Linked DNA regions of Arabidopsis thaliana. The protein of the gene in region 1 interacts with the protein of each later gene in a pairwise test. Each region holds a gene or a part of one and is shown in the gene's direction. Other genes may lie near its edges.

Evidence for each region.
Region 2: the proteins of AT1G19450 (region 1) and LAX3 interact in a protein complementation assay, tested with the Arabidopsis thaliana proteins (one large-scale study listed by BioGRID).
Region 3: the proteins of AT1G19450 (region 1) and AAT1 interact in a protein complementation assay, tested with the Arabidopsis thaliana proteins (one large-scale study listed by BioGRID).

Annotation. Positions count from the first base shown.
Region 1 is NC_003070.9:6,730,848-6,739,274, reverse strand, and holds AT1G19450 (Major facilitator superfamily protein), read left to right. Parts: upstream 1-4,250; 5' UTR 4,251-4,641; coding exon 4,642-4,839; intron 4,840-4,961; coding exon 4,962-5,024; intron 5,025-5,135; coding exon 5,136-5,225; intron 5,226-5,340; coding exon 5,341-5,400; intron 5,401-5,488; coding exon 5,489-5,554; intron 5,555-5,643; coding exon 5,644-5,709; intron 5,710-5,804; coding exon 5,805-5,880; intron 5,881-5,988; coding exon 5,989-6,053; intron 6,054-6,138; coding exon 6,139-6,231; intron 6,232-6,307; coding exon 6,308-6,388; intron 6,389-6,470; coding exon 6,471-6,555; intron 6,556-6,653; coding exon 6,654-6,700; intron 6,701-6,765; coding exon 6,766-6,828; intron 6,829-6,922; coding exon 6,923-6,982; intron 6,983-7,072; coding exon 7,073-7,138; intron 7,139-7,234; coding exon 7,235-7,294; intron 7,295-7,376; coding exon 7,377-7,604; 3' UTR 7,605-7,864; downstream 7,865-8,427. Other genes in the region: AT1G19460 (Galactose oxidase/kelch repeat superfamily protein), read right to left, coding at 1-791.
Region 2 is NC_003070.9:29,199,559-29,207,985, reverse strand, and holds LAX3 (uncharacterized protein), read left to right. Parts: upstream 1-4,567; 5' UTR 4,568-4,668; coding exon 4,669-4,839; intron 4,840-4,921; coding exon 4,922-5,107; intron 5,108-5,210; coding exon 5,211-5,323; intron 5,324-5,406; coding exon 5,407-5,590; intron 5,591-5,690; coding exon 5,691-5,788; intron 5,789-5,877; coding exon 5,878-6,343; intron 6,344-6,559; coding exon 6,560-6,754; 3' UTR 6,755-7,569; downstream 7,570-8,427. Other genes in the region: CCP2 (ubiquitin-fold modifier), read right to left, coding at 91-173, 532-564, 995-1,092, 1,169-1,236; AT1G77700 (Pathogenesis-related thaumatin superfamily protein), read right to left, coding at 1,769-2,639, 2,715-2,838, 3,164-3,239. UniProt on the Arabidopsis thaliana protein: Carrier protein involved in proton-driven auxin influx.
Region 3 is NC_003075.7:11,267,175-11,275,601, forward strand, and holds AAT1 (amino acid transporter 1), read left to right. Parts: upstream 1-2,810; 5' UTR 2,811-3,143; coding exon 3,144-3,552; exon of another isoform or gene 3,553-4,790; intron 4,791-5,133; coding exon 5,134-5,796; intron 5,797-5,888; coding exon 5,889-6,601; 3' UTR 6,602-6,825; downstream 6,826-8,427. Other genes in the region: AT4G21110 (G10 family protein), read left to right, coding at 499-592, 693-880, 1,445-1,600; EMB2271 (Transducin/WD40 repeat-like superfamily protein), read left to right, coding at 7,134-7,516, 7,738-8,080, 8,169-8,393. UniProt on the Arabidopsis thaliana protein: High-affinity permease involved in the transport of the cationic amino acids (e.g. arginine, lysine, histidine, citrulline, valine, and glutamate). Transport mostly basic amino acids, and, to a lower extent neutral and acidic amino acids.

The DNA of each region.
Region 1 (8,427 bases):
AAGCAACGTGAGCCCAAAATGTATAACTTGTCTTCCATCACCGCATGTGCAAAAAACTGGGAATCCATACTAGTTTTAGGGTACGGACCAGGCAAAGATTCCCAAATCTGTTTCTTTAGATCAAACACTTCAATCCATTCAGCATCCGGTTTTCTCATCCTGAAACCTCCGATTACGTAAATCTTTCCGTCGAATACTCCGGCGGCTGCATGGTAACGACCCCTTTTCATTTTCGGAAGCGAGCGACATTTGTGAGTTCTGCAGTCGATGAGAGTCATCAACTGTAAACGTCTTACATCGAGGAGTCCACCGATTACATACATCTCTTGACCGATTGTGACGACAGAACATCCATAAGGCACAGGTGGAAGTGATTCGAGTTTGCTCAAACGTAAAGAAGAAACCTTGTTTCGATGGAGAATGTACCAGTTTGGGGGATTTGTGTCAGGGAATCGGATGGCGGCGTAAAGAAAGGTTTCGGAAAGACCGAGGCGCGAACGCGTTTCGTAGAGTTCTGACGAAGCGATGAGATTGAAAAAGTAACTTGAGACGGAAGATAGACTAGGGTAATCACATTTCCGGATGAGTGCGACGCAAGCTTCCGTGAGCTCGTTTGGAATTGGAAAAGATACCGAGCGATTATCTTTTTCTTCTTCCTCCTTGGGCTTCTTGTTTTGATTCTCGTTTCTTGTCGCGATTCTTCTACTTCTTCTCAAAACTTGTTCTTCTGGTTTCTTGTTTGGATCTCCGCCGTCATTAGAGTCGCCGGAAATTTCAGAGATATTAGCCATCGTCGTCTGTGAAGTCAGCAGCGAGAAATAATGAAAACAGAGCCTGATTTGGTTTCTGGAAAAACTCGTGTATTTATAGCCATAATGAAAACAGAGCCTGATATAGTGTTTTAACTTTACAATGTGGGCTTTCAAGCCGAAGAGTATGGATCCTTATTAAAGCCCAAATTTGGTTACTTAAATTAGCCTCTATAAGTCCACTAATTGTCTAATACACACTGCATTTTAAATTCGATTATTATTCTCAATAAAAATTATTAAATCAATTAGAACACTACTCCCAACAATAAAAGAGAAAATAAAAAATAATTGATCCAAAGTTTTTAATGTATAATCGTGTTAACGATCATAGATAGATTTATGCCAAGATAAATGTGACATGTACAATCGTGTTGCATGTACTCGTTAAATGGTGAAAATCGTGTTACTTATTGATATTAAAACCGATAAAAGTATCAGACCAACTAAGCAAAGTGGGGACAATGGAAGAGAATGCTTGTGTCGGGATCCGGAAACGGCTACACAGAGATGTAAGCACTAACACGTGAGAGATGAGAAAGAGACAAAAGACCCAGAACAGTGAAAATATACGAATCTGCATTGTTGGGTCAACAGAATATTATTATATGTTGAACGATGAATCAGAGCCTATGAATCATAACCCCAATAAGACGTGTTTGGTGTGATATCTACTGGCCTTTCTTGTCGTTGCCTCTATCGACCATAGATTTATCTCGATTTAGAAGTTCTTTAAAAAAATAAAACCTCGTGTATGTAACTTGTGTGATTTTGGGATCTCAATTATGCCGACGTTATTAACAACTAAGAAGATTAACAACTAACAGGTTACATACGTATCATATTTAAAAAATTACTTAAATGTTTCCCAATTCATTCATCTGTAAATAACACTCTGTTTTTCTTTTTTTTTAAAAATATATCTTCAATGAATTTTAGAAAAAAGAGAGAATGACTTTTGTGGAGATTTTTTTTTTTTTTTCCAATACATATATTTTATTCACCAATACAACATCAAATGTCATCTAAATTTATGTTTTAAAACATAATGTTATTGGTAAACATTGAAAATGTCATCTAAACTTATGTTTTAAAACATAACTAGATCATAACTCGTGCTATACAGCACGAACATTAATATTTTGTATAAATTAAATTGTATACTTTATTATGTTTGCTATGTTTGTCAAAATTATTTGTTATATTTGTCAAACTTTAGTAAAATATATTTAAATATAATTAAATTTATTAAAATTTAATAAATTTAAAAGTTTTTGTTGTTTGGAGACGCATTATCTACATACAAAATACCTGTTTCTATTTTTTGAGTATTTTTAGGGCCTGAAACTTTTTATCCAAACTGACCTAAACCCAAATGGACGCGATCCGAACCGAATATTTAGAATTATTCTATTAGGTAGTAAATCATATACCCATTAATCCCAAATCCGAACGGGTTATACCCGAACTCGAATGGGTTACTCATATGCCTAGCCCTATTCTCTGATTTAATTATCTAAAAAATCCCAATAAAACATATGTTTTGGTGACTACTTTTTATTCAAAAAAATTTACATCTTCTTCTGCCAAAATCATTTCATAAGACATCCCAAAACCCTTGGAATAATGATTCCATGAATGAAGAATCCTAATTTGAATATACCAAGAGGTTTTGAAAGGTTTTAAGTTTTTGATAGGTGTGTATGTGAGATGGTACATCCATCGTGATGGTAATCGGCTTATTTATAATTTTAACTTGCATTATACAGCAGGTAGTCTTATATTTTAGTTAAACTAAAAACTTTTATTGTAAAGTTGATTATAAATATATGATATTATTTTATTTGATTTTAAATGTATAGTAAACTGCGAGTTGTATATGTTTTGTTGATATTATTTATATTGTTTAGTGTTTAAAATTATATACTTGTATTTTGATTGTTAATTTTAAAGTTTCACATATAGTATATCATCTTGTATTAATATTGATTTAAACCCGTCAATTGTAGGATTTTTCAGCTTGTATTAAAAATTGAATCACATCATACACATTAAAAAATCTAATATGTTATTAATTATTGTAGTATATAAGATTATAAATTTTAAAATAATATGTATGAAATTGAATATAAATATTCAAACTATGACACAGTACTCAGTAAAAAAATTTCTTAAATCTACTTTTGACCCGTTATAGTATTTTTTCATGTATTGAACAGTTTATATTCGTTTTTAAAAATTCAAATTGTGGCATATGCGAAAAAATTCTAATTATTTTTTTATAACGATGATATTATTTTTTTGCAAAAATAGAATCATATAAAGATGAGAGGTGAACTATAATAATTAATAAAAAATTAATATGATAATTTAGATATCAAATCTAATTTGTTGATTTTAATTGGTTACTTTTTTGGAAATTAATAATGTATTTCGTTTTTGAGTTAAATTTAATTAATTAAATTAGTATTTGACTTTTAATTTTTAAAGAAATAAATTAATTTACTCTTTAAAATCTTATTTCTAATGACATACCTATGTAATTACTTACAAAAAAATAAAGTTATATTTAAAATGTATTTCCTAAATAATATAGTAGGATGTTATTGGTAAACATTGAAATAACATGTCGTATTCTCAAAGATTTTAAATATTGAAAATAAATAAATAATGTTGTATCTGAATAAATATTTATATTTATTGAAGTATTCGAAATTAATGACATCCATATATTTTTCATATACTAGAAAACAAAAACTATAATTATTCGAGTTTATCTAATAAAATAATGTCACTTGCATATTTGTGACCTATCGACATCAATATCAACGAGGTAGCGAAAATGCTAAAAAGTAGAGGAGGATTCGAGCATTATATTCATATTTAAGTGTTACTTTAATAATCTTATTATTTGTCCTAAATTGAAGTTTTAGCTAAATTTTCTCCCACAATATTGTTATTCTGATTTTGTTAAGAGTTAGGACAACATCTAAATATGAATTCTATAATGCATGCTAACTATTATTATAAGTGCTAAAATATAAAATGACATTGTCACTTTTTGTTGTCAAAAGGAATGTCTAGTGGCCTCGTATTCTAATATGGGAAGTTTTAATTATTATTCCTACCAAAAAATATCTTTGAAGTAGACAGTTTACCTAAACAAAAAGAAAAACATTTTCTTAAAAATACAATATAGTTTAGTCTCAGCCTGTACCACAATTTTATAGTATTGTTGCGTAATTAGTTACATTGTAAAAGCTCATTATAATACTAATGAGTATGTAGAAGTATGTAGAAGAAAATAAATGATTCAAAGCGACTACAAATGCTTGTATATGTGAGCGAACATGGGACAATGATTCAAAAAATTATCTTTGCGCAAAAAATAACTCGAAAACGACAATCAGACAAAAAAAAACAATAGTTAAATTTGATATAAAAGAATTTAAAATGAACGATATCTTATTTAATTACAAATTAAAATGTTTTTAAATTAAGTTTTTTTTTGTCGACAGAGAAGAAAAAAAACAGGTCCCTTTACGAATTCTATAAATCGATGTTAGGCGACGCGTTCTGAGGTGGAAAACTATGAAACAGTCTGCGTCTCTCCACGCAAAGGCTCAATTTTTACAAACCATGAAGAATTCTTAAGCAAAACAAGTCTAACATCTTTTTGAATTCACCCAAAACTCAAATCCTACCTCAAATTTCGTATTTTTCTTCTTCTGCATTTTCTAGTTTAGGATCGACATTTTTATCCTCCGAAAGATTCGTGCTTTTTTCTCTCTGTAGATTACGATTGTTTTGTAGATTTAAGAAAAACAAAAAGATGAGTTTTAGGGATGATAATACGGAAGAGGGAAGAAATGATCTTCGGCGACCGTTCTTACACACAGGAAGTTGGTATCGGATGGGTTCGAGACAATCTAGTATGTTGGAATCGTCTCAAGTTATTCGAGACAGCTCAATTTCTGTCTTAGCTTGTGTTTTGATTGTTGCTCTTGGTCCTATTCAATTCGGATTCACTGTAAGAACAACATAAACAAATATCTCAACTTTCTTATATTTTTTTTTATCAATGTGGATTTCTCTGCTTTTGCTCAAATTGACTAAGAAAGTGTTGATTTTGATTTATCTTTTTGTTTTCAGTGTGGTTATTCCTCACCAACTCAAGCTGCCATTACTAAGGATCTTGGTTTAACTGTATCAGAGGTATGAAGGTCCCATCTTTATTTAAGAACTGTTCTGTTTTTTTTTTTTTTTTTTGTAAAGACTCTTGTTCTGTAATTTTCTGACTTTTAGGTTTCTTGTTTGATGTTTTAGTACTCTGTGTTTGGGTCTCTATCCAATGTGGGTGCTATGGTTGGAGCAATTGCGAGTGGTCAGATTGCTGAATACGTTGGACGGAAAGGGGTATAATAGTTTTGTTTCTTGATTCTAAAACATGTTCTCATCTGTGACAATTTGTCATGTAACATCTTCTTTCTTGTTGTATCTTATTTACTGTGTTTTTCTTTCCTTTTGACAGTCTCTGATGATTGCTGCAATTCCCAATATTATTGGATGGCTTTCGATATCATTTGCAAAAGTGAGTGTTTTGGTGTTCTCAAAGTTTCTGATATTCTTGGCTTATCTCTATACCTACTAAGTTGTTGTTGTTCTTGGTTTTTGTTTAGGATACTTCTTTTCTTTACATGGGAAGATTGTTAGAAGGCTTCGGAGTTGGGATTATCTCCTATACGGTAATATTAGATTCAACTATTTCTTTGATTTCAGCAATGTTTGTTTGGAGTGATCAATATAATTACACACCTTTGAATTGCGATTTTAGGTTCCCGTATATATAGCTGAGATCGCTCCACAGACCATGAGAGGAGCCTTAGGTTCAGTTAACCAGGTTTGTCATGTTTAGTTAGCTTCACTATTTTTATGTTTCATTTTATGAGCTGATTCATATGTTAACACTAAACAATAAATGTTTTGTGTTTATAGCTTTCTGTAACAATTGGGATAATGCTGGCGTATTTACTCGGTCTCTTTGTTCCATGGAGAATTCTTGCAGTTTTGGGTAACTCACAAAACATTTTGACTTGACTTGGGAGAAACTATACCTGTTTTTATTTTATTTTGATCGATACAGTCTAATCACTTTCTTGTTTGTCTTCTTTATGTTTAGGAGTATTGCCATGTACATTGTTGATACCGGGTCTTTTTTTCATTCCTGAATCTCCTCGGTGGTTGGTATGCCTCTACAACCGTATTGCTTATATTGTTGAGTTTGTTGCATTATTGGTTATCCTAAATTGTTTTGGTGTTGTAATTGTAGGCAAAGATGGGTTTGACAGATGATTTCGAAACTTCATTGCAAGTTCTTCGTGGATTTGAGACTGATATTACCGTTGAGGTTAATGAAATCAAGGTAGTGACTAAACTGAAGAAATGCTTTGATGTGATTTCTTGTCTTATTTAAAATTTTCATTTTATGCACTCTGCAGAGATCTGTGGCATCATCTAGCAAACGTTCTGCAGTTCGGTTTGTAGACCTCAAGCGCAGGAGATACTATTTCCCACTGATGGTGCAATTTCTCTTACCTCTCTTGAACTAATTTTGTCAACACATGAGAGAAACTCACTCTTTTCCTGTAATCTGTGTTACAGGTTGGTATAGGGCTGCTTGCACTTCAACAACTTGGAGGAATCAATGGTGTCTTGTTCTATTCGAGTACAATTTTTGAATCTGCAGGTAGAGTCATATGTTTTTTTTGATTATTGGAATGGTCCTAAGATAGAATAAACAGATTTCTAACTATGCTTCTTTGTTTGCAATTATCATTCACTAAGGGGTGACATCAAGTAATGTGGCGACATTTGGAGTTGGCGTTGTTCAGGTATATCATTTCAATCTAGGAGACATTAGATTCGATTTTTCTAACCGTTGTTCATTCTATACCAGGTAGTGGCGACTGGGATAGCGACATGGTTGGTGGATAAAGCAGGTCGTCGGCTTCTACTCATGGTGAAGAATATTTGAGATTCATCTGTATATCTTACAAAGTCTGAAGAATTTATGTATGCATAACATAATATTAGCATTTTCTTCTGAAATGCAGATCTCTTCTATCGGAATGACGATAAGCCTCGTGATTGTAGCAGTTGCATTTTACCTTAAGGTAACATTTTAACTTTTGACATCTCTACTTGTACAATGTAAGAGTGTCACTCTAATTATGAGATATTGAGGTTTCTTAATCTTTTGTTAGGAATTTGTATCACCTGATTCCAACATGTACAACATTCTAAGCATGGTTTCCGTAGTTGGAGTTGTGGTAAGTCGTTTGTTTTATACATTCACACAACGAAAGATACTTTCTTATTTACATATTTCCCGGTATGTGTACTAAATCTGGCTGAGTTATTTACAGGCTATGGTTATTTCTTGCTCTCTAGGAATGGGACCAATTCCATGGCTGATTATGTCTGAGGTACTAAATATTAAAACATGGTGTTCCTTAGTGTTAAAATCACAACTGGAAATTTTAATACTGATTAATGTTGGTAAAACAGATTCTGCCAGTGAATATAAAGGGTTTAGCCGGAAGTATAGCAACTTTGTTAAACTGGTTCGTGTCATGGTTAGTGACAATGACTGCAAATATGCTGTTAGCATGGAGCAGTGGGGGAACTTTCACTCTCTACGCTTTGGTTTGTGGATTCACTGTGGTTTTTGTGAGTCTTTGGGTTCCTGAGACTAAAGGAAAAACGCTTGAAGAGATCCAAGCTTTGTTCAGATGATCAAAACAAGAAGAGGAAGAAGAAGACAAAATTTTCACTTTTTGCTTTCTCCATTACAGATCATTCTTTTGTCCCTTCCCTGTGTCTGTATTTCATGCTTTGTTCAATGTATTTCTTCTTGACATTGATTATAATTTGTTTATCTTGTACAAGCATATCATTATACCTTTAAATTTGATTTTTTGTTTTTGTGTGTAATTTTTCGGATTCTCAAGATTAATAGCACTATATTTGTGTATTCAACAATATCTTGAATTAAGTATAGAAAATCAGAAATGCAAATGTTAGTGTTTTGGATCCAAATGGGAAAGCTACCATGTGATAGAAACTGCTTTGGGAGTTTTGTTGTTTGGCGAACATGAAAGGACTATTTCCAATGCAAACGGCGGTCGATTTGAAAAAGAAAACAACAATATAATAACAATTTTAAAATCATTCTTTATATAACATTCTTGGCATGTCCCACTGTCCAATTTGACCATTCATTAAGAAATCAGAACCAAGTAAACAATACTAAGGTCATTTTCTTCCAAAAGTAATAAACTAGGAAAATATCTAGACAATTTACAGATAGTAACGAAATAATACGTTACAAGAACATGAAAATGGTTTTTGTAGTTACCGTTCCTTGTTTATATTCTCAAAGTAACGGATTCACATATTCACACCATTCAACACGAGTGAGTGTCAGTGAAAGGCAAAGTTGGACAAACGAAAGTTTTGGTTTCTGTAATTTAATTGGAGCAAACTTCAATAATAGTAAACAAACAACCTTTTGTTTAACAATGTCCCTAATTTTATTCTGTGATTTCGTCATTACACA
Region 2 (8,427 bases), about 22 Mb from region 1:
ATATTTATTCAACGAAGTTGTACATAAGCATTTCAGTATATTATTATGTTTTTTTTGGAACTGAGTTTTTAATCATTGCTTACACATCATCTATGGATCCATCACAAACACAGCTCCAACTCTATCACGCGGGATCAATCTTAGTTCAGATCCGTGCTTCAGAAAAACGTTTCCTGACATCATTCACAACACCACATTCATTAACAAGGAGCTTGATTTCTACTTGTATGTTGCTAATGACCACACCATAAAAAAGACAGCTGAGATATTACAGCGGAACCCGACTGTGTGTAAATAATCTAAAGGTTGCTTTCCTATGGACACTGCACTGAAGTCACTTAGAGGCTAAGGAACACCAAAAAAGAAAAGCACGCAACCATTAAGGACAGTACTAGTGATCTTCTAAGACTCTATTAGTACATTGGCAATCAAAGCATGCAAGAGAGAAACAAAACTGAGAATTGCAATGGCATAAAAGATAGAGAATTGAGTAAAACGCAATAACCAAGTGTTTAGCATTGTGATAGTTACCTGCACTCTGTTGAGGATTGATCCCGATCCCATCTGCACACATGAATACAGATACATCATCACATCAGAAATCTTGAGAATTGATGAATATGGATTACATCAGCCGAAACTAATAATCAATAGATGACTAAACACACCCAAAATATCATAGATTAGTTATGAGAACTATAATTCTATTCGAAACAAATCCCTTTAAGATTTTCCAGCACCAGAAAGCTTTAAACTTGTAAACTTTGTAGATACATAAAGAGCTCAAGGAAAAGATTTACATGATTCATGTCTAAGATAACATTCTCGTGAATGCACAAACATATGAAGATGAAATGAATCAAATTTGAAAGGAACACAATTGTCCTGCATATGTCCCATTTATCGTACAAACTCACAAACCCTAAATCAATAATGCTAGATGATGCGGTTTAAGCCCAGGATCTAAAAATGAATGTCAACAAGGGTTTAATACCATTAGTGATGATGGCGCTGGTTTGTGGAGGAACCTTGAACTCTTCTGCTGCGAATTTCAGAACCGCCGTGAACGGAGCTCCTTCTGGTACGCTGAAACTGATCGGAGAAAAAAAACAACTTAGAGACCAATCACAGGCGTAAATCGAAAAAACAAGAGTCAGGATTCGCATACACTTTGAAAGGAAGCTTAGGATCCGAAGTCAGAGTGACTTTGAAGGAGACTTTTCCACCAGTGGCCATTTTTTCCGACGGGGGAGGAGATTCAGATTAGCACGGCGGATAATGGCGTTTCAATGACGCATTCACCAAGAGGGTTAAGAGAATGTGAAACCAGAGATAATACCAACGTAAAGTTAAATTTCACTTCAGGCCCATTTTAGGCCCATTTTTAATATATTACGCTTTCTTACAATTCAGCCACGGAAATGATCTTTTTCTTAAAATGTATCTTCATCTTTCTTTTTACTCTCAAATCAACCTTACATTTGCTCTGAAATTTAAAATTATTTACACATGAAAACTTAGAAAAATATTTACAGTCAATGAGAAATTTTCCTCGACAATAAAAAACAAACAAACTTATTTATCTAATAAATAGTCATGAAATTAGCTAAACACAACAAGAGACAACATCAACACAAGCCACAATAATCTCCCAATCATCTTCTTAAACCCACCAGAACCATCGCTGCATACTAACTTGTTGTCATGGTACGTGCACACCGGCTTCTTCCTACACACAATTCAAAAACAAAGACCAAAAAATATAACTTTATTTCTGCATTTGAATTACTTTTACTTTTGCATATGAAATTAACAAAGGATGAATAAAGTATATCATGTAAATGTAAAAGTCATGGTCTAGTATGAATGAAACTTGATTAGAATCATAATTAAAGTAATCATGAGATGTTGTTAAAAACGTAAAAAGGACAAACCTGGAGGAACAGAAAGAAATGACGTAATCAGAGGCAGTGCAAGTCATAATACTGGTCGGATCATCATAAGCATAACTATAAGCAGTAGGACAAGCTTGTTTAAAGATCTTTGAGTAATAAGTTGGTTGACACACAACTGGGTTCCCATAAACTCCTCTACAACAATACTCATCTCTATCAAACACATCACAAGCACTCCTACACGATATGACTTTCCCGTTTGATTTCACTGCGAGCTCCTGCGGACAATGTGGCCTCAAATCAGCTACGCAACCGGCGACGCTGCAGTTTCCTTTTCCGTTCATCGGAGTCACCGACATCGGGAGATTGAATCCGTCGACGAGGCTCACGTCGTAGAAATCCAATGCGGCTAATGTGAATTCAGCTAGTGAAGCTGGTGGTTTTCCGGAGGCTGAACATTTTAGAGTTGATCCGCATGAACCGGTTTCGCATGTTCCGGTTCCGGTTGAGTCGAATTTACAACCGGTTCGTCCCCAAATTCTGCCTGACCAGCCTACTGGTGCGTGGAATACGATGGATTGGCCCGGTTTGAGCTCGAATCCTCCTCCGTTGAAGTTTTCTCCTGGAGTTATCGCCGGCCAGATCGTTTGGTCACATGAGTTTATGATCGTGAATACTCGAGCTGATTCTGACCATTTTGTTCCTGTGGAGTAATTCACAGGAGTTCTAATCGTTATCCAAACCCTAATTAATTAATACCTAGACAAGGAAAGACGTTTAATTACGATCGAAAATACTATAATGTTTGAATTATTTTACCTGATAATATGGTGAGAAAGAGTAACAAGATCCTTGGTGACAAACCGAAACGAATTGGCATCTTTACTAGAAAATATTTTAGGATCAAATGTAATGTTATTTTCTGATCTTGAAGTGAGACTGGCTTTTTAAGGGAGGAAGAAAGAATAACTTGCATGGAGAGTCTATCGGTACAATTATAATAATCGGTTGTAGTACTATATGTGTTTTCAAATAATTAAGGTTCCTTGTTTTGGAATATGGGAAAGAGTTAGTTAGTGTTATTCGTTTCCTGATGTTTCATGCAAGTATTCTTTGGGATGCTGTTAAGGTAATCAAAGTCCAAATGGCCAAGGATCTATACTGTATGTGGCTTTTTATCTGTCTATTTGTATCTTCTATTATTGAATTTGGATAATCTTGTTGATATTGATTATTTTAGCCTTCATGTCATGGGTCAATTCATCTACCTACTGATATATTAGGCCTAATTAATGAATCATATGGCCCATTTATGTCGAACTCAATCTCAATTGTTCGGTCCATTCTTATATTCTGCTTTTTGAATATTACACCATTAATAAATTTGTATAGTCATGATCCTTTTTTTGGTTAAACAGATTTTCTGACGAAGATAAATTGATGAAAATCAAAACAAATCTCACAATCTTTGTCGTTATGGGAACCATCTGTAACCATCCAGTAGAATCGAGTTCCTGGTTTCAAGATGTCAAATTATTTAACTACAATGACTCGCCATTTTTTCAGTATTATTACCAATGATATCTGAATATCTGCTCTATTTAGGGACGACAATATTATATCTTTTGGAGATATCTCAATAGCCTAAATAAGGTTGAATCACAAAAAAAAAAAAAAAAAAAAAAACATTTGAAAATGCATATTTTAATGTCAATTGGCGATGAGTCTTCTTTCCGCTGCCATCCATTTTGGCCGGGTTAAAAAGCTATAAAGATCTAAAATGATGATACCTTCTCATTAATAATTCGATCCATTGTAAAAGTATGGGGCTAAAAAGGAGACATTTCTAAGAAATTAGTGAGTTAAATAAAGCTTAGACAGCTAGACACGTGTGGTAATTATGTTTACCACTAATCCCACCTGATTAGCAATCATTCTTTCCATTGGATCCATCTCCAATCCTCGATTACCTCACAAATCACTATTTCTTCCTCTCTTTTAACCAAGTTTTTCTACTTCTAAATCAAGCGTTTGGATGTGCGATGCCATATGGTAGACAAAGGCATAAATTTATGTAATTTCGAGTTCCAGGTAACAGCTATGTAATATAATCGGACAAAACATAAAAACTTAGAAATATAATTGATTATTCTACATAAAGATCGTTATCATCCTCATCACAAGAAGGAGGAAAGGACCAATATGTTTTATTCATTGTTTCTAGTTGTTACAATCATCATGATTCAAATAATTGTTAATGATAATAATAGTTTAGCCTTTCTTTCAAAAAAAAAAAACATCATTGTCATCACTTCTATTTTCAATTTACAATTAGTCTACTCTCACTACTTTAAACTTTAAAATCTATAATTAGCTAACCCTCTTTTTTTGCATATTATCGGGGTCAATATATAATTAACAATCTCAAACCGGGCCTACCCGTTCGTGTAATGCTCCAGAAATATGGCCCATAAGCCCAACAATCAAATCAAGCCCATTAAAAAAACAACGCCACGCTCGCCGAAAACAGTAACAGTCACAAGTAGGTGACATAACTCAGTCACCAACCAATCATAAACCGATATCCCCATGACAACTCGTGAGCTGTGACTAAAGACTTCGTCCCCCGACACTCGTTACTCAATAATTGCACACAGAGCAAAAGAAAGGAAACAAAACCCATAAAACAAATAAATAAATGAAAAAGCTTTTCACTAGTCTATTTAAAGAGTGGAAGTAAAGAAGCTAAAGAAACTGAGAGAAGAAGAGAAAAATGGCGGCAGAGAAAATAGAGACAGTGGTCGCAGGGAATTACTTAGAAATGGAGAGGGAAGAAGAAAACATAAGTGGTAACAAGAAATCTTCAACTAAAACAAAACTCTCTAATTTCTTCTGGCATGGTGGTTCTGTCTACGATGCTTGGTTTAGTTGTGCTTCAAATCAGGTATGTACTTCCCACAGATTTAGTCTTATATATAGATGTGTATGTATCGTCTTCTATAGCTAAATTGTTATAAAAATGGCAGGTGGCACAAGTTCTGTTGACATTACCATACTCGTTCTCACAACTTGGGATGATGTCGGGAATTTTGTTTCAACTCTTTTATGGATTAATGGGAAGTTGGACTGCTTATCTCATTAGTGTTCTTTACGTTGAATATCGAACTCGTAAAGAACGAGAAAAATTCGATTTCCGTAACCACGTTATTCAGGTTTTATTCCACCTCTAATTCTTGTGACTCGTTATAATTTTTTATTTTTTTGGTGGTATTATTGAATTTTAACTTTTTGTTTTTTTTTGTTTGTGTAAAAAAGTGGTTTGAGGTGTTAGATGGATTGTTGGGGAAACATTGGAGGAACCTTGGATTGATCTTTAACTGCACTTTTCTTCTCTTTGGATCTGTTATTCAGCTCATTGCTTGTGCTAGGTAAATTAATAATCAATGTTCATTTTCTTTATTATATGGTTTTTTCATATTGAAAATTAATTAATATAAAAAATGATTTGCAGCAATATATATTATATTAATGACAAATTGGACAAGAGGACATGGACATACATATTTGGGGCGTGCTGTGCAACAACTGTTTTTATTCCTTCCTTCCACAATTATAGAATTTGGTCATTCCTCGGACTCGCTATGACCACTTACACTTCTTGGTATCTCACCATTGCTTCACTCCTTCATGGCCAGGTCATTATAATTAACACAAATCTTGTTTTGATTATTATAAGATATAGACATATAGTCCTGGTTATTGTTGTTTAATATATTTATTTTTCATATAAAAAAGGCTGAGGATGTGAAACACTCTGGTCCAACCACAATGGTGCTTTACTTCACCGGAGCCACCAACATTCTCTACACCTTTGGTGGCCACGCCGTCACAGTGTAAGTATTTTTTTTTTGTTTGGAAAAATAAAATGGCTTAATTAATGGCTTAACTAATTATGTATTGGAAATTTGAAAAAATATAATAGGGAGATAATGCACGCTATGTGGAAACCGCAAAAGTTCAAGGCGATATATCTACTAGCGACCATATATGTACTAACGCTAACGCTACCATCCGCGTCTGCGGTTTATTGGGCGTTTGGCGATAAGCTACTAACTCATTCCAATGCGCTCTCTCTTCTCCCTAAGACTGGTTTTAGAGATACCGCAGTGATCCTCATGCTCATTCATCAATTTATAACGTTCGGATTCGCGTCTACACCGTTATATTTTGTGTGGGAGAAATTGATAGGTGTGCATGAGACGAAGAGCATGTTCAAAAGAGCCATGGCTAGATTACCCGTGGTTGTACCCATATGGTTCTTAGCCATTATCTTCCCCTTTTTCGGACCAATCAATTCCGCGGTCGGATCTCTCTTAGTTAGCTTCACTGTCTACATCATCCCCGCATTGGCTCATATGCTTACCTTTGCTCCTGCTCCTTCAAGAGAGGTTAGATTTCCAACTTCCAAAATATCTATTTTAAAATTATAATTGTTTCATAAAAAGCTTGTTACAATTTTAGTATAAGTTTACAAAGAATAATTGGAAATAGTATATTATTAGTTTATATTAAAATTATTATATAGTATCATAGATTATGTAAAAATAGCTAAAATAATATTTTGGTATATCTAATTTTTGTTAAGTTTGATATATCGTAAATAGAATGCGGTGGAGAGGCCACCGAGAGTGGTAGGAGGATGGATGGGGACTTACTGCATAAACATATTTGTGGTGGTTTGGGTATTCGTAGTTGGGTTCGGGTTTGGAGGATGGGCAAGTATGGTCAACTTTGTTCGCCAGATCGACACTTTTGGTCTCTTTACCAAATGCTACCAATGCCCTCCTCACAAGCCATGATATACAAATTTGCCATTCAAGACCTTCTAGAAAGAGAGTTTCATATAAGGGGGTTTTGATTTCGAGATCTAATATATATAAGTTACTACATCCAATTTTTTTTTAGTATTTATTAAAAATCACATCTCTTTGTAATTGTTTGACGACAATAATCTTTTACCTCGGGTTTGTTTAATTTGTTATGTTGAGTTATTTTTGGTAAATTGGGTTTTTTTTGTTCCTTAGTTAAGGTGTGATGGCTATCTTAGGCCAACCCTATTATTATTTAGTGTTCTTCTATAGCTCAAGAAAGTTTCATGTGTGTTTTGTGTTTAATGATCTCGTTATTCTCTTTTACTGAGATTTAATTTCATCGTCATTTGAAGTGCACTGAGTTTTTGATGAAAATTGACTATAAATTCTGCGATCAGTCCAAATGAAATGATATGGAAATACATGATTTAAAATCATACAACCTCGTGCATCTATACTCTATAGTAAAATAAATTTATGTGGGTAAGATTATGAGAGTTTTATTTTAGAATACATTAGATTATCTTTGAAGCAATCAAATATTGATCTAAATTAACTTTTTTTCTTCTGAATGTGAGTGATCCCGATCTGAATCCATCATGGGCAAATTAGCATCACATCACAAAAAGGGAAATGAAAGGCGTATCTTTATAAAAGAAGCAAAAGGCAATGGCAGGCTCTGTGTCAGTGTTGTTAGTACATAATTAGGCAGACTTTTTACACCAATTGATTCAATGGTTGGTGCTTGGTAAAGTCAAATAACTGATCAATCACATATGATTATTCGTTTAGTTAGATCATTTTTAAATAAAACCAAAATTGGTTACAAATTTTGATAGATGTATCACAAACAAAACAAAAATAAAGATGAAATAGTAATTCATCGCGATATCATCATTGAATAAAAACAATCAGAGAAGTAAACATATATTAGAAAAAAAACTTAAAGATGCAATAGTCATAGAAAACTCTAAAAGATCATTTAAATGAAACTAGTACTTAATACACTGCTCTTGTTAGTTCATGATTTGAACTAGTTTTCATATGACGTAATTAAGGAACAAGGTAGACAACAACAACAACATAAGCGATATATCGATATAGCTCGTAATAATTAAGTTGGAACAAACTCACTATCATAGTACCATGTCTACCCGAAAACTGACATTTGGGTTGAGTTTGCGAGATGGTTACATTTGACTAACAACTTCATATTATTATTAGGTACTATCGAAAATGAAACCTTTTTGGGGGTCAAAATCCAAAAAAAATGAAAATCAGTTTTTAAAAAAGCATTTAAACTCATAAAAATATTTCATTTATTGCCGGAACAACTAGACTTATTACCAAAAAAAACTGATTCCGACGACGGGACACTAAATAATTCAATAGGCATAAGTTGTGATAGATATATAAATAGAAATTCATGATTCAGAGTGTCAAAAGTTAATATTCTAACAAACCTTTTAAGCGCTTTTATGGATTTGCCAATCTAGTAAACTGCTTTTTGACTAGCTTTCTAACTTCCATGCTCCAATCAATCTCATGGGAAGTTGGGTCATCACTATTCTGCCATTTTCTTTACCTACTAAAGATATAGACAAAATAATACAAAAACAATATGGCCAAAATGAACTAATACAAAAACGTTATCATAATCT
Region 3 (8,427 bases), on another chromosome or scaffold:
ACCACTCGTTATACCGATTTCCGAACACAACCCTAAAGAGGCTTCTTCGACGACGTTGGTTCTTCTTCCTTTGTCCTGCGCCGCGATCTCTCCTTCTCCAACTTCCCTCGTCCTGTCCAAAGGTAAGCTTCTTCAATTTCTGTCTCATACCAATCTTGCTTCGGCACCCTCCTTTTGTTTCGGTTCTTAACCCTAAATTTTCCCCTTCTATCCCAAAACACAGAGATTGATAAACCCTAATTGTTCACCTTCTATTACTGAAACTTTATCTAGACTGTTCTGGATTTATGTTTGGATCAACCCTCTGCGTTGTATTGGATGTAGCCTTGACGCAGAAACCCTAATTTTCCGGAAGCGTCCTTGCTTGTTGTTTCAATTGCTTAATTGAGAATCTCTTTGGAACTATGAAAGTCTTAGAATCTCTCGTTTTGGTGAAAGTATCCCATTTTGCTTAATTTGTTCCTTTGTTTAACGTTGTGAATTTGCGTTGTGTAGAAAATGCCAAAGGTTAAAACTAACCGAGTCAAGTACCCAGAAGGATGGGAGTTGATCGAGCCTACTCTTCGAGAGCTTGATGCCAAGATGAGAGAAGGTTAGTTTCATATAAAGATTTTGTTATATCTCAATAACATATGCTTTTGCTTGTTTCTTTTTCCCGTGATTTTGCTCTAACTATCGTGTTCCTTGTGCAGCTGAGACTGATTCACATGATGGTAAGAGAAAGTGTGAAACTTTATGGCCAATCTTCAAAGTTTCTCATCAGAGGAGTCGGTATGTATATGACCTTTATTACCGAAGGGAAGAAATATCTAAAGAGCTCTATGAATTCTGCTTGGACCAGGGCTATGCAGATCGCAGTCTGATTGCCAAATGGAAAAAGGTATGTTTTTATATCATTCTTGAATTAACTTCTGTTTGTATGCCTTTTTAGTTAGTTGTCTAAGGCCAAATTGAAGCGATTTGGAGTTTCTATTATGTAAAATATTGTTGTATTAGTTTAGAGAGTCTAGTATCGCCTTACTGCACAATGAGTCTTGAAGCTGTTTCTCTGAAATATATGTCCTTAGCATATGCACTTACTTGGAATGATCTCACTAACGAATAGGTTCTAGAATTGGTATTGTTGCTTTGTTTGGTGAAGAAATAAGATTTCTGGTAATTATACTTCGAACAAAGTGCATTGCCTCCACGATTTGCCAAATTTTGGATAGTTCTAACTTCTAACCATACTCCCACATCTTAATGATGGTCACTCATGAATCGTTTATTAACAAACTCCTCCCTGTCAATTCTGTTGCATCTTCTCTTTGTAGGTTATACTATCCAGACATATACCTAGATTTCACTTTTGTTTTCTTTCATTGAACTAAGATTTTGTCATTTATACGTGTCTCTATACTTTGTGTTAAGTAACTCTAAAAACTCTCTGTTTTGTGTTTTGCAGTCGGGATACGAACGTTTATGCTGCTTGCGCTGCATACAGCCAAGAGACCACAACTATGGAACAACATGTGTATGCCGTGTTCCCAAACACTTGCGTGAAGAGAAAGTGGTCGAATGCGTTCACTGCGGCTGTCAAGGATGCGCGAGTGGCGATTAAATTCAACATAGCTTTATTCGCTATCTCTGACTGTTTGTTACAATCTTGTCACTTGTTAAATCTGGATTATGTATTATTCCATAAAGGCTAAAAACCCTGACTAAAAATCTCCTTGCTCTTACTTATCAACTCTGGGTGGTATTGCAAATAAAAAGAACGTTCCGGTTTGGTATATAGTTGAAACTTGAAAGTAGAAAGACGTTTCCCGGTTTGGTATCTTACTGAATTAAAAGAGTGTTTTACTATTCCCAAAAGTGTCAATTTCTCTAAATTCGTGAGATTTGCAGCAAGTTTATCATGACGCCGTGAGTTATGTTTTGGTCAACCGGTGATAGAACAAGATATTATTGAAGCAGAAATAATTATTAATTCTTGTATTTATCTAGACGAAACTTGATTGCTTGATCCAAGGAAATTGTTTTGACTTCAAAATTGTATTGGTTCTCACTACAGTTGACCTGCCCCTATGTTTCCATGTGGAACAAGATTCTTCGTCTTGGTCATATGGATTAGTATTATTTATTTCTAATCTTATCGTGTAATGCATGTATGATGTATGTTCTAAACAAGATGTCCACCAAGGTCCAAAACGAGAAGAGATGCCCATTACGCTCGCTCTAGATGCTTTGTGAAACTCGATGGACTTTCTTCTCTTTAAACTCACATAACATACATACATGATCCAAAATCCATGATCGTTCTTTTTTTTTTTGGGTTCATTTTTCATGGTTTATTGGAAGCACAAAAGAAACCAAAAATAGGATCACAGTTCTTGGACATCGTTTAATACAAAACTAGAGGAAGTAAACATTAAAAAAAAAACTTGAAAAATTAGGGGAGGCTAAATCATTTTCTTGACGCGCTTGTAATAGGAGGAGCAATTGTGGTAAGTGGTTGGTGTGAATTAGAACCCAATTATCAACTAAGTCGAGTTTTGTTTAAAACCAATAAATTTCATATACAAGTTTGAAACTGAACATATAACTTTTTCTTTATATATCATAATTTTGAGTATAACGGATATAACATTTTACTTAAATGAGAAAGTACTATTGAATTATCCAGAAGACGTGATCCGATGGAAAAATTCGTATCACACATGATCTTTTCTTTTTATGGCACACCAGATTTTGTTTACATTTATAATTCGATTTCATCTTTTTCTTAGAAAAAATGGTCAAAGAATGCAGCTGGTGACCAACTAGTGACCATACAACAAGAACAAAATCTCATGGACTCTATTTAAGGTTTCCATAATTTAATTTACCGTATCACATTTCCAGCTAATTACACAAAACCGTCGATAAATAATTGTTTATAGAAAGAAATAAATACAAGAAAAACGTCAAAGGATAGCTACTATAAGTAAGGCAGACTTTAGGAACCCAAAATTCTGTTATTAATTTACAAAAACTAAAGAGTTTTTCACTTTTCAGTTTCTCTTCTTACCATTCACTCTAAAAAAACAGAGTCTTTATAAAACCGATCTCAGATTCTGAATCTGAATCAGAATCTGGATCAACATAATTTTCTAACAAAAAAAATGGCTTCGGGTGGTGGTGACGATGGGCTTCGTCGGCGAGGCTGTTCATGCACAAAAGACGATTTCTTACCGGAAGAATCGTTCCAAAGCATGGGGAATTACCTAAAAGCCCTTAAAGAAACACCGAGTCGGTTCATGGATCGTATTATGACTCGGTCACTAGACTCCGACGAGATTAACGAGATGAAGGCTCGTAGTGGTCACGAGATGAAGAAGACGTTGACGTGGTGGGATCTCATGTGGTTTGGTATCGGTGCAGTCATCGGCTCTGGGATATTCGTTCTCACTGGACTCGAAGCACGTAATCATTCCGGTCCAGCCGTCGTGTTGTCTTACGTTGTCTCTGGTGTCTCCGCCATGCTCTCCGTCTTTTGTTACACCGAGTTCGCCGTTGAGATTCCCGTCGCAGGTAACAAAATTATCATTTCCTCTGTTTCTCATTTATATTTATATTTTCGTTTTTTTTTTGGTATGTTATATTTATATTTTCTTGTTAGAGAATTTCTAATTTGAAAAAGTTGAAAAATATTAAAATTTACAAGTTTAAAATTTCATTTTTACATCTTTGAACTAAAGACGCATCTTAACAGATCCTATTTTTTTGTAACGTCGGTCATAAATATGCGAATTTCAAGAAAATGTTCAGACTATATTTTTTAGGATTAGTGTCATAAGTAGGAAGATAGGGAAAATACGTTTAAGCAGGCTAAGAGTCTCTTAGCTGGTTAAATTTAGTTTTAATTACGATTTACATGTTTAAACGAAACGCATATTTGAGGATATCTTTTCTAGCGATATTCTAACTATAGTGTCATCATAATTAGGGAATAGAAAAATGTAGCGTACATTTATCAAGATCTAATAAATATGCAGACGTATCATTTCTGACAACTTCGTCAATAAGAAAATATTCTACTTGATTCAATCATTTATGCTGGTGCATTTTTCCGGCAACTTAATCCTTCTTTTTTTGGTTCGGTGTCGATTAAGTTTTTGTCCCATGTTTTGGGAGTCACTAGTGGTTATGAGTCCTTTTTTTATATATCAGTTGCATAATTCACCTCAATACAACGACCAATAAAATATTCTGTTGATGTACAAAGAGTCAACCATACGATATGCTTTTAGTAATACTTCTAAACTCAACATTAATTAAAAATGTAGTTATTGTCTTACTTGTAAATTATTTAGGTTAAAACCAAAAAAAAAAAAACTATTTAGGTTTAAAATGTGTAAATGAATAAGATCAGCTTCTTTATTACAAAAATTACTATAGAACAAATATTGAATTTTCAACTCTCGTAGCGTGACGGAATCTCTGGGGTCAACTAGTTGACATCTGACTTATGAGGGTCGTTCACACTATCTAGTATCAATCTACTATTTATCCTCCGTTTTTTTCCTTTTAAATTTGATAGTAGCTACAATACTATCAAATCACAAATTAAACAATCGAATGATTTGATTATTATCTTAGAGTTGCAAAATATTTGTTGCCATTTATTAGATTGTTAGCTACTTTTAAAATTGTATTTAAAACTTTGTAATTTCACAATTTTAGTCATGGGGTCTACCTAGAAGACTTTTACATACAGACAAAGAAATTAAGCTAAACAGATGATTACTTACGTCAATGACCTTATATACGTAAGTCCCAACTATATAAGTCAAGCTTGTAAATTGCCTTTATTGACAGTTCAAAAGTAAATTAATTTAATATAGTATTACTACTCAAAAATATATTTTTCATTTTCGAAATAACTTGTAGTGAAATCCCACTAGAGATTATGTTTGGGTCCTAGAAAGTAGAAAGTGGAGTCATTTTCAAAATTATTTTTTACTTCCAAGTTGTTTCGAACTCAAATTGAATATTATCGTAAATAGAAACTCAAACGCATACATTACTTCGCCCACAATTATTTGTAAAAACATTATGTAATTTCTTTCATATTTACTATTTAATTTACATAACCATTGAGTCAATGTTTAGGCGGTTCTTTTGCCTACTTAAGAGTGGAGCTCGGCGACTTCATGGCCTTCATCGCCGCGGGAAACATAATCCTCGAATACGTTGTCGGTGGAGCTGCCGTGGCTCGATCGTGGACCTCTTACTTCGCCACTCTCTTAAACCATAAACCTGAAGACTTCCGCATCATAGTTCACAAACTCGGCGAAGACTATAGCCACTTAGATCCAATAGCCGTCGGCGTTTGCGCCATCATTTGTGTTTTAGCTGTCGTTGGCACAAAAGGCTCCTCAAGATTCAATTACATTGCTTCTATAATCCACATGGTCGTGATTCTCTTTGTTATCATCGCCGGATTTACTAAAGCCGATGTGAAAAACTACAGCGATTTCACTCCTTACGGCGTTAGAGGAGTGTTTAAATCCGCCGCGGTTCTTTTCTTTGCCTATATTGGATTTGATGCGGTTTCAACGATGGCTGAGGAGACAAAGAATCCAGGGAGAGATATTCCTATTGGTCTTGTTGGATCGATGGTGGTTACTACGGTTTGTTATTGTCTCATGGCGGTTACGTTGTGTCTTATGCAGCCGTATCAACAGATTGATCCGGACGCGCCATTCTCGGTTGCGTTTTCTGCCGTTGGATGGGATTGGGCTAAGTACATTGTCGCCTTTGGGGCTCTTAAAGGTATGCCAAAGATTTTGGCCTTCATTATTTATTTGCGTTTGCGTTTACATTTAGTATAGTCTAAAATCTATACTAATCTTTGAAATGTTTAGGTATGACGACGGTTTTGTTAGTTGGGGCCATTGGTCAAGCTAGGTACATGACACACATAGCCCGAGCCCATATGATGCCTCCATGGCTAGCTCAAGTCAACGCAAAGACCGGAACACCAATTAACGCGACCGTGGTAATGCTTGCCGCGACAGCTCTCATAGCATTCTTCACAAAACTGAAAATTTTAGCCGATCTCTTGTCTGTTTCCACACTTTTCATCTTCATGTTCGTTGCTGTGGCTCTTCTCGTTAGAAGATATTACGTCACCGGAGAAACATCGACCCGTGACCGTAACAAGTTTTTAGTGTTCTTAGGTTTGATTCTTGCGTCCTCTACCGCGACTGCTGTTTATTGGGCTTTGGAAGAAGAAGGTTGGATTGGGTATTGCATTACGGTTCCTATATGGTTTCTGTCTACGGTTGCCATGAAGTTTCTTGTACCGCAAGCTAGGGCTCCGAAAATTTGGGGTGTTCCTTTGGTTCCGTGGTTGCCTTCTGCTTCCATCGCTATTAATATCTTCCTTCTTGGTTCCATCGATACAAAATCGTTCGTTAGGTTTGCAATCTGGACAGGTATTCTGCTCATATATTACGTCTTGTTTGGGTTGCACGCAACGTATGATACAGCTAAGGCGACGTTGAAGGAGAAGCAGGCATTGCAGAAAGCTGAGGAAGGTGGTGTTGTTGCTGATAATTCTTGTTCTGCAACTTAAGCTCACTAGTTGGTTTTAATATATTGTTAAAGTGTTTGGCTTTGGATTCGGGTTTATTAATAGTTGTCAGATTCTTCGTTTGGTTAATTAGTGTTCTGATCTCAAGAATTGTAATGTCTTTGGTTTGTTTAGATTTTCAATATGTTAATAGATTTTCTTCACATTTGCATCAAACATGATAATTAAGGTCTGGTTTAATCCTTCTCAAGTAAAATAGATGTGTGACAAAAGTATGTCGTATTTGAAACCAAAAATCAACTTATTCGAGTTACCAACGTTTTAATTTATGAATTCACAAGATACTTTTTTCCATTTAATTTGTTTATGAGTAAGTTGATTAATTTGTGGGTTAGGCCCATCATGAAGTAAACCTATTAACCTAGTATTGTTTGCGGGGAAAGTTAGGGCAATTTGTGGATTTCTTATTTAAGACAGAACAAAGAAGAAAACAAACTCTGTATTTTTTTCTCCATCGCCAGTAAACCCTGCGTTCTCTCTCGCTCGCTTGTGTGTGATAGAGAGGGAGAGAAGAATGAAACTCGAGAAGAAGAAAGGTATTGGGGCGAAGAGAAGAGGGAAAAAGAGTTCCATCGATCATGATCCTTTCTTAGAGGAAGAGACAGAGAAGCGGAGAAAATTCAATTACGATGATGATGATGATATCGAATCTGTAGAATCTGAAGAGGAAGGGAAGGTTGGTGAGGAGGTGGAGGATGAGTTTGCTCATGAGACGGTAGGCGAGAAACGAAAGAGACTGGCGGAGGATACTTTGAATAGAATCGAAGAGGCGAAACAGAGAGAGCATGAAGAAGATAACGAGGAAGATGATGATTTTAGAGATTCGCTTGTGGCAAAGACTCTAATGCAGGAACAGCTCGAGAAGAGTGGTCGTGTTCGGAGAGCCAATGCATTGAGGTAATGAAGAAGAAAGTTGTTATTTTTCATATTTGAGTCCATGAGCTAGGTTTTTATATTTGAAACCACTCCTCAGGACTTGTTTAACTACGTATTCATAGACTTCAAAAATGCTTGTGATTTAGGTTTTATGGAATTTTAGGAATTAGTTTACATTAGTTTTTATATAATGGCTTGGAGATTGTTTGTACTGATACTCTGATTAAACTTTACCGTGTCAGGGTTCAAGATCTACAGAGTAGCGATAAGTTTCGTGTTATAGTCAAACACCAACATTCTGTTACAGGAGTAGCTCTATCAGATGATGATTCAAGAGGGTTCTCAGTTTCGAAAGACGGTACTATTCTGCATTGGGATGTATCTTCTGGTAAAAGTGATGAGTACAAATGGCCAAGCGATGAAGTTTTGAAGTCTCACGGGTTAAAGTTCCAGGAATCTTGGTATACAAGACATAACAAACAATCTCTAGCATTAGCTGTTAGCTCTGATGGCCGGTATTTAGCGACTGGAGGAGTTGATTGCCATGTTCATTTGTGGGATATCCGAACACGAGAGCATGTCCAGGTAAACAAGCTTAAAAATAATCAAGTTAAGGATTCTGTTCATTGTGTCTTGCTCTCAGCCTCTTTTATTAGATATGTATCTATTGCAGGCTTTTACAGGTCACTGTGGCATTGTTTCTAGTCTATGCTTTAGAGAAGGAACTGCAGAACTCTTTTCTGGTTCATATGATGGAACATTAAGTATATGGAATGCAGAACATAGAACATATATAGAATCATGTTTTGGACACCAGTCTGAACTTCTATCCATTGATGCTCTAGGGAGGGAGCGTGTTCTCAGTGTTGGACGCGATAGAACAATGCAGTTATATAAGGTAGGTATTGTGGTCTGTTTGATTTGTTTGTCTA